Linked DNA regions of Caenorhabditis elegans. The protein of the gene in region 1 interacts with the protein of each later gene in a pairwise test. Each region holds a gene or a part of one and is shown on either strand. Other genes may lie near its edges. The genes, in order: T09B4.8 and rps-15A.

Region 1 (4,310 bases):
ACACCTTATAGATTAATGCATTCAACCTACGTGCTTATTGCTGTTTTATTCGTACGCTTGAAGAGTGCATTTTATGCCGCCATAGCTCAGTCGGTTAGAGCGTGGGTCTAATAAGCCCAAGGTCGCAGGTTCGACCCCTGCTGGCGGCAAACTTTTGCCATGCTATCACTTTCACCTTTTTCCGCATTTCGATTACATCATCAGTTGTGCGGTTGGCGTCGCCTAACCATCCGATGAGATAACACCTATGTCGCATTTGCCGCGCGCCAAGGACATGCGGATCGGAACCGGTTTTAAGCTTTTCTTAATCTCAATCCACAGCAGAAGCAGCAGCCGCAGTACATGCATGTCGCTTCATTTTTTTAAACATCGTCCGTCCACCAGCACCTTGTGACGGAGAAGTGAAGCGCGTACATAATGCCATAGTATACCAATAACACATAAACGATACATGTAACTGGATGCGTTTTGGAAGAAGCAAAAGAGAAATGCGAAAAAAGAAGAATACCAAGTTGACTGACGGATTTTCGTGTTCAGATCTGAATTTGTAGCTGTACGTCTTAAAAAAGGGAGTGGTCTGAACAATACAAATTGAAGCGTTTTGGAACAATAATTTCATAGAACCCGAAAGAATTTTGAATATTTGAATTATAGTTTGAAACAACAACAAAAAACAAGAATTTGGTAATATCGAAATGAAGAAATGACGGCGCCTATGAAATTATTTGTATTGTTTAATTGATTTGGCAATGATGTCTACAGCAAAATCGACATCCTTTTTAGTAATACACATTGGTGGTTTGATACGGAGAACGTTTCCATGGATACCTCCTTTTCCGATCAGTAGGCCTTGGTTCTGTAAATTAATCTGATAGTTAGACAAGTAAAATGGCATTACACCTTAGTGTCTTCGAAGATAGCTGCTGTTTTGGCTGCGGCAAGTGGTTTCCCTTGCTCATCGATAAGTTCCACTCCGATCATTAACCCCTAAAAATCATCAAATTGTATATTAAAATCTTTTTAGAGAGTTTTCTCACTTTTCCTCTAACATCTCCAATTGTCGCATCATCAATTGCTGCAAGTTGTTTCAAGAAGTAATCTCCAACAACAGCGCTGTTTTCCTGAAGCTTCTCCTCTTCAATCACTTCCAATACAGCTTTTCCAACAACGGAAGCTAATGGATTTCCACCATATGTATTGAAGTATAGAGATTTGTTGAAAGAGTCGGCAATTTCTTTACTAGTGACAACAGCTCCCAATGGGAATCCGTTTCCGATTCCTTTTGCCATAGTTACCATGTCTGGCAAGGCATCTTGTGCTGAAAATTCAAAATATTGATTTCTTAGTTTTAGTATTATTTATTTTAAAAACTCACATTCGAATCCCCAAAAATGAGAGCCGAGGCGTCCGAAACCGGTTTGTACTTCGTCAGCAATAGCGAGTCCTCCCCGTTTTTGTACAGATTCGTAAGACTTTTTGAGATATCTGGAAAAATCAAATACACATTTTTCACTTTTCTTTTGAGATTTTACCCATGTGGATACTGAACAGTTCCTCCAACTCCTTGAATAGATTCAATCAAGAAGGCAGCTGGTCCGGATGAATGAGAGAAATCGTGAAGAAGCATATCATCGAACTGTTCAATGTACTTATCAGAAGCTTGACAGGATCCAGGCTTGCAATCGCATTTTCTGTTCTTTACTTGAATTGGAGAGTCACGACAATTGCTTCCTCCAAAGATTCCACGATATGGATCAGCATTCAATGACTTAAAAATGTTGAATCCATGTGGAAAAACTGGTTTCCAGTTTCCCAAATTAGTTGCTCCAAGAACAGTTTGGGTCATTCCATGATATCCATTTCTCATCGAGATAACATCAAATCGTCCTGTGTAGTTACGAGCAAGAGCTAAAGCCAGGTCATTTGCTTCCGATCCAGAGTTCACAAAGAAGACTGACTGAAAATTTGGATGTGAAGAAACGACTAGATATTTAGTAATTCACTATAGGAAGGCCTAACAGTTTCAAGTCTGCAAACTGTAGGGTTTGATAAAAGGGTAAAAAATAAAAACTAACATTCAATTTGCTTGGGAACTTTGAGAGCAACTTCTCAGCATACTCATAAATTGGTTCAGTGTGATAAATGGACGTGGTATGCCAAAGCTTCTGTGCTTGCTCGGTAAGAGCTGCGTTGATTTTTCTGAAAGCATAAAATTCTCATAAGCTTACAAAAAGAATACTCACGGATGACAATGTCCAACTGAGACTGTGACAATTCCACCAAAGAAATCGAGATATTTCTTTCCATTCGAATCAAAAAGGAATTGTTTTTCACCTTTCGTAATCAAGAGTTGATCCTTGTAATAGGTCACATGTCCCTTTGGAAGTAATGGACGAAGTGCCTGCACTCGTTGCATGGTTTAAGCTGAAATTTTTTCAATATTTGATGAATCGATTAAAGGGATCCAAAAAATAATGACTTGTGGAAAATTTTGAAAAGTTCACGGAAAAATCTACTTTCGTGTGGAATACAAGTTAAATACAGGAAATCATTAGAACTTATAGGCATTTAAGAAACACAATTGCACACAAAATAACTGGAGGGTGTGTCAAATGTTTCAAGGTCAAGTTGGATATATTACACAACACACACACACAAAAATGCACCAAAAAGACAACTGTCTATGACTGTCTGCGTATCTTCCATTCAAATACTTTTTCATTTGGCTCTGAGACAGTTGTCGTTGGGAAAATTAGAGAGAGTGACCAATAAATGTGTGGAGAAGAGAAAAAGAGCAACGTGTTTGAGGACAGAAGTGCAAAAGAACAACAAGTTAAAAAATTAAAGAAAGAAAAATGTCATTATTAGAACGGTTCTTTGTGAAAAACTGCCTGCAAAAAGAAAAAATGAAAGAAAGAATTTTCATAGAACAACTGAAAGATATCAAGAGATGATAATTGATAACTGTTGCACGTATCAATTGATAAAAATGAATAGGACATTCAATTCTGATTATTGACCCTTTTAATAATATTCTTGATTTGACTTTATGTGGTGGATCCGAAGAAATACTTTCAATACTTTCTCGTGGGGCTTAGTTCAGGCTTGGGCATAGGCGTAGGCTTAGGCTTAGGCAGGCCGGGAGGAGGAAGAGAGCACATGAAATTCCAGAAAATTGAATAGAAGAAAAAGAATAGAAGAAAAAAAAAAAGAAAAAATGCACAAAACCCATGATAAATGGAATTAATAAGAGAAAAAATTGCACAATCTTGAATTGTATTTTTCTTCCCCTCAAGTTTTGATTTTGCGGTATTTATTAAAAGTTTGGAGTATTCCGAGTATTATTTATAAAACCAACTTAACTGTTGAATCCATAAAGTTTATTTTCCGTGTGACTTTTTATTTATAAGCAGTACCCGCAGTGTATTATATTCTGTAAAATTGCCGAGTTGCCGAAAATCTAAGTCTTCTTTCCTTCTCGCATCAAAACTTTCTCTTTTCAATCGCAACCGTTCTCGTGCGACTTTCTTTTTCTCTTCTTCTTCACAATTTCTTTGCTATTTCTTCTTCTCTATGTAAAAGATGCAGATAACCCAAATTTGCGTATTGTTATCAATACCAGTGTTGCATACAACATCAATTTTCTCATTTATTGATTTTTGTTTTGGTCCAAGTTGAGGATAATTTTTCGTTGAGAAAAAAGCTTGTATTCCTGCCAAATCTCTCGTTTTTTCTTGTTTTCCGCCTTTGTTTTGACCCGTCAAACACCGTTCCGCGATTCGCTTTTTATTTACCTACGCTCTCTCGTTTTCTCACACAGTTCTTTTCACAGAATTTCAATTCACATTTTGCTGCTCGGGTTTGGCTATTTTATATATTAACATTTTAAAACAAAGAAGAAATGACTGAATTTTTCTCGCAGAAGCAGATTGATGGTAAGTGAAACAACACTATAATTCCAAGATTTGACTCCGAAATCTTTACTTTATTGTTTCTCATCAGAAATTCGTGAATGCTTCAACTTTTATTCAACCAGTGGAGTACTAAGAACAGATTCTCAACTTCGATGTGCTCTCCGAAGTCTTGGATATTCTCCAACTGCTTCCAAAACTGATATTTATTTCAAGAAGCTTAATAGTATGAGTTTTAGAACATTACACTTCTGAATGATTGCTATTTATTTCAGAAAAACCAATCGAATTTGCAACATTTTTGGACATTTGCAAAGATGAACAAAATAGTCCGAATCCACTGACGGAGATTATCAAAGCGTTAAGTGGATTGGATAGGTTAGTTGATGTGCTTTACAA
Region 2 (3,270 bases), on another chromosome or scaffold:
AAAAAATTGATTTTTTTTTGAGTATTTCCAAATTTCTAGGTTCAATGAAAAATATTTAAAAATTGTATAAAAACGCCTAAAATTGCAGATTTCAGACATTTCAGATAATTTTTCGATGAAAATTCTGAAAATAACTTGGAATTTTGAATATTTTCGCTTCCGTACAGTGATATTAAGCATTTCTTGAATGCGATTTCCCATTTTTCCGCCAAATCCTCGAACATCTCCGATTGGCGTAAGCCGGAGAATTTCTCGAACATAGAACCACGGAATTAACGTTTGTTGGCGTGGTTTATGCCGGGCGCACACCAATTTCGCCATCATTTTGTTGTTTCCGACGCCTGAAAATGGAAAATTGCGATTTTTGGGCGAATTTTTCCCCCCAAAAAATGAATTTTTCTGGATTTTCCGGCAAAATCCATACCCGCCGAGCAAAAAAACTGGGTTTCCTCGTGAATTTGTTGCCGAATTTGCTCTACAGTGACCGCGGCAATCAGTAAAAGCAGGTTTTCCGTGCAATTTCTCGCATTTTCAATATATTCCAGCAGCACATCTTCTCGTAGGTGCTCATTTTCTTTCACATCTTCTCCGGTAGCGAGGTGTGTGGTTGGGAGGTAGGTAATAGCAGCCTGAAATGCGAAAATTAGGCAATTTTTAGCGAAAAAATCATGGATTTTGCTTGAAAATTCATTAACAAACGGCAAAAAACCTGTGGACCTAGTGCCGCCCGGCGCGAGCGGTCGCGTCGCGGTTGGCACGTTTTTTAGAGGTAATTTGAAATTCTTGAATTTTATTAATTGAATTTAGCGGAAAATCAGGTTTTTCGCGTTTTTTTTCTTGAAAAAACTGCTAATTCTGCAAAAAGATGCTGAAATAGGGGGGATTTTTCTCATTTTTCAACTTTTCAAGCTAGATTTACCTGCAAAAACTCCTCCAATCCCTCGTTTTCTCTCAATTCTTGCAATTTTTGATTAGTATACGCGGATAAATCAAGAAAAGCCTCATCGACAGACGCTTTTTCGATTATAATTTGCGAGTCGTAATTGTTCAGCACCCGGAAGACTTCTGCGCTAGCGTCGCTGAAAAAATAGCAATTTTTGGGACTTTTTCAATATAAGAATTCCAACCGATATTTCTGAATATCAGCTTTATCTACATATTCTCCAATCGGAACGTGACATATTGATATTTGAGGGCATTTTAACTTCGCTTCGGCCACCGTCATCCCTCGTTTCACTCCGAACGGGCGGGCTTCATAGCTTACAGCCAAAATTCTGGAAATTTCGGGCTTTTTTTGGAGAATTTCAGATTAAAATTCAGCTTACCCACCCTCGATACCCTGCCTGGAGTGCTGCACGACGATCACCGGCTGTCCCCAAAGCGATGGATTGTCCCGTTGTTCGACTTGTGCGTAGAAACAGTCCATATCGATGAGGCTGATCACTCTTTTCATGTTTTATGTGTCTGAAAATATTCAAAAACTATGAAAAGTTGAAAAAAAAAAGAAAAAAAGCCGGAAATTGCGAAAAAACGAATTTTTAAAACAAAAAAAAACCAAAATCAATGTTTGAAACCCCGCCTAAAGTGCACTGCAATCGCGCTCCACTAAGACGATTTGGCTGCTTGGCTGAGTATTCAACGTTAATGCATAGGCGGTGGAAAGGCGTAGGCCAACGAAGTTTTTCACATACTTTTCTCGAATTTCCGTGATTTTTAGGTGATTTTCTCCATTTTTTGTGGTTTTAAGCATTTTCCAGTAGTTTTGATGCGAAATACCTACAAATATTCATCGAAATGTGTCTGTTTTGCTTCGCGTTCTCATAATTTTTGTAAAAATGAATTCCCGAATTTTCAGGTAAAAACAAGCAGACATGGTTCGCATGAACGTCCTCGCCGATGCGCTCAACGCCATCAACAACGCCGAGAAGCGCGGAAAGCGTCAGGTTCTCATCCGTCCAGCCTCCAAGGTAAATTCGCGTCGTTCTTCGAGAATTCTCAATGCATTTTTGTTAATAGATGATGATGCTGGCAGCCTCGGTCGCAAAAAATGACCAAGGCTCTCCGTGAATTTAGAATTTAGTGAAAGAAACTCGGTTTTATTTCCAAACATAACTTTCGGTTCTAATTAAACGGAGACACCCTTGGTTAGATTCTCTCAATCTGGAGATCTTCCTGGGATATGAATGTTGAAGGTAACCAGCTTAACATCTACTTTCCGTATTTCTAGTTTTCCACCTGTCCCTTCCCATCGCAACAATAATTTTCCAGGTCATCGTCCGCTTCTTGACCGTCATGATGAAGCACGGATACATCGGAGAGTTCGAGATCGTCGACGACCACCGCGCCGGAAAGATCGTCGTCAACCTCACCGGACGTCTCAACAAGGCCTCCGTCATCTCCCCACGTCTCAACATCCGTCTAAACGATTTGGAGAAGTACACCAACACCCTCCTCCCATCCCGTCAGTTCGGATATCTCATCCTTACCACCTCCGCCGGAATCATGGATCACGAGGAGGCCAGAAGAAAGCATTTGGGAGGAAAGATTCTCGGATTCTTCTTCTAAATCCAAACCCTAATTTTTTGTTTGTTATTATTACAAATAAATTGTTGTTACAACTACAACCGAGTCGTGTGTTCAGTTCGGCATCCAACTTTTCAGGGTTTCTAAATATCTTTTAAAACCTTTGGGTTTCGTTTTCGGGGACCACGAATTTTTCAGAATGCTCCGCTCAGCAGTTTCAGCTCTCTATAGAGCATCGAGAAGCTTCTCCGAGACAGTTCCCAGACTTTCAGCCACTCCACTGGGGAAGCAAGAGCCCCAGTTGTCCCTGTCATACACCTGCAAAGTGTGCAACTCCCGGGAGGTTTGAGCCAAGAAAGCTAGAAAACTGGATTTGAAATTCCTAATAATTTCAAGGGCCCAAAAACATTTGCCAAGTCATCATACGAGAAGGGAGTTGTCATTGTCACGTGCTCCGGCTGTCACAACCATCACATCATCGCTGACAATATCGGATGGTTCGAGGACTTTAAAGTGAGCATTTTTGCTCTTGAAAACGGAGCATCGTTGACGCGTGTTGTTTAGCGTAAATCCAATTTTTTCCAGGGAAAAAACATCGAGGATCATCTGAAAACGCGAGGAGAAGCCGTGAAACGTCGTGACACGATAAAGAACGAGAATGGAATTTTTGAAATTCAAAAATGAATAAATAAATCGATATTTTTTAAATGTCTTTTGCGATGAGAAACATGGAGAGAGAGAGTGAAA

The links.
Region 2: the proteins of T09B4.8 (region 1) and rps-15A interact in a two-hybrid assay, tested with the Caenorhabditis elegans proteins (one large-scale study listed by BioGRID).

The regions. Positions count from the first base shown.
Region 1 is NC_003279.8:6,164,116-6,168,425, forward strand, and holds T09B4.8 (Alanine--glyoxylate aminotransferase 2, mitochondrial), read right to left. Parts: upstream 2,425-4,310; 5' UTR 2,417-2,424; coding exon 2,244-2,416; intron 2,200-2,243; coding exon 2,076-2,199; intron 1,958-2,075; coding exon 1,533-1,957; intron 1,486-1,532; coding exon 1,376-1,485; intron 1,319-1,375; coding exon 1,038-1,318; intron 988-1,037; coding exon 901-987; intron 857-900; coding exon 722-856; 3' UTR 604-721; downstream 1-603. Other genes in the region: T09B4.4 (EF-hand domain-containing protein), read left to right, coding at 3,902-3,935, 4,003-4,137, 4,187-4,289.
Region 2 is NC_003281.10:1,948,805-1,952,074, forward strand, and holds rps-15A (Ribosomal Protein, Small subunit), read left to right. Parts: upstream 1-1,855; 5' UTR 1,856-1,871; coding exon 1,872-1,967; intron 1,968-2,016; exon of another isoform or gene 2,017-2,183; coding exon of another isoform or gene 2,184-2,192; intron 2,193-2,268; coding exon 2,269-2,565; 3' UTR 2,566-2,620; downstream 2,621-3,270. Other genes in the region: polh-1 (DNA polymerase eta), read right to left, coding at 166-341, 425-629, 920-1,079, 1,128-1,274, 1,326-1,453; F53A3.7 (DNL-type domain-containing protein), read left to right, coding at 2,723-2,866, 2,920-3,036, 3,109-3,207.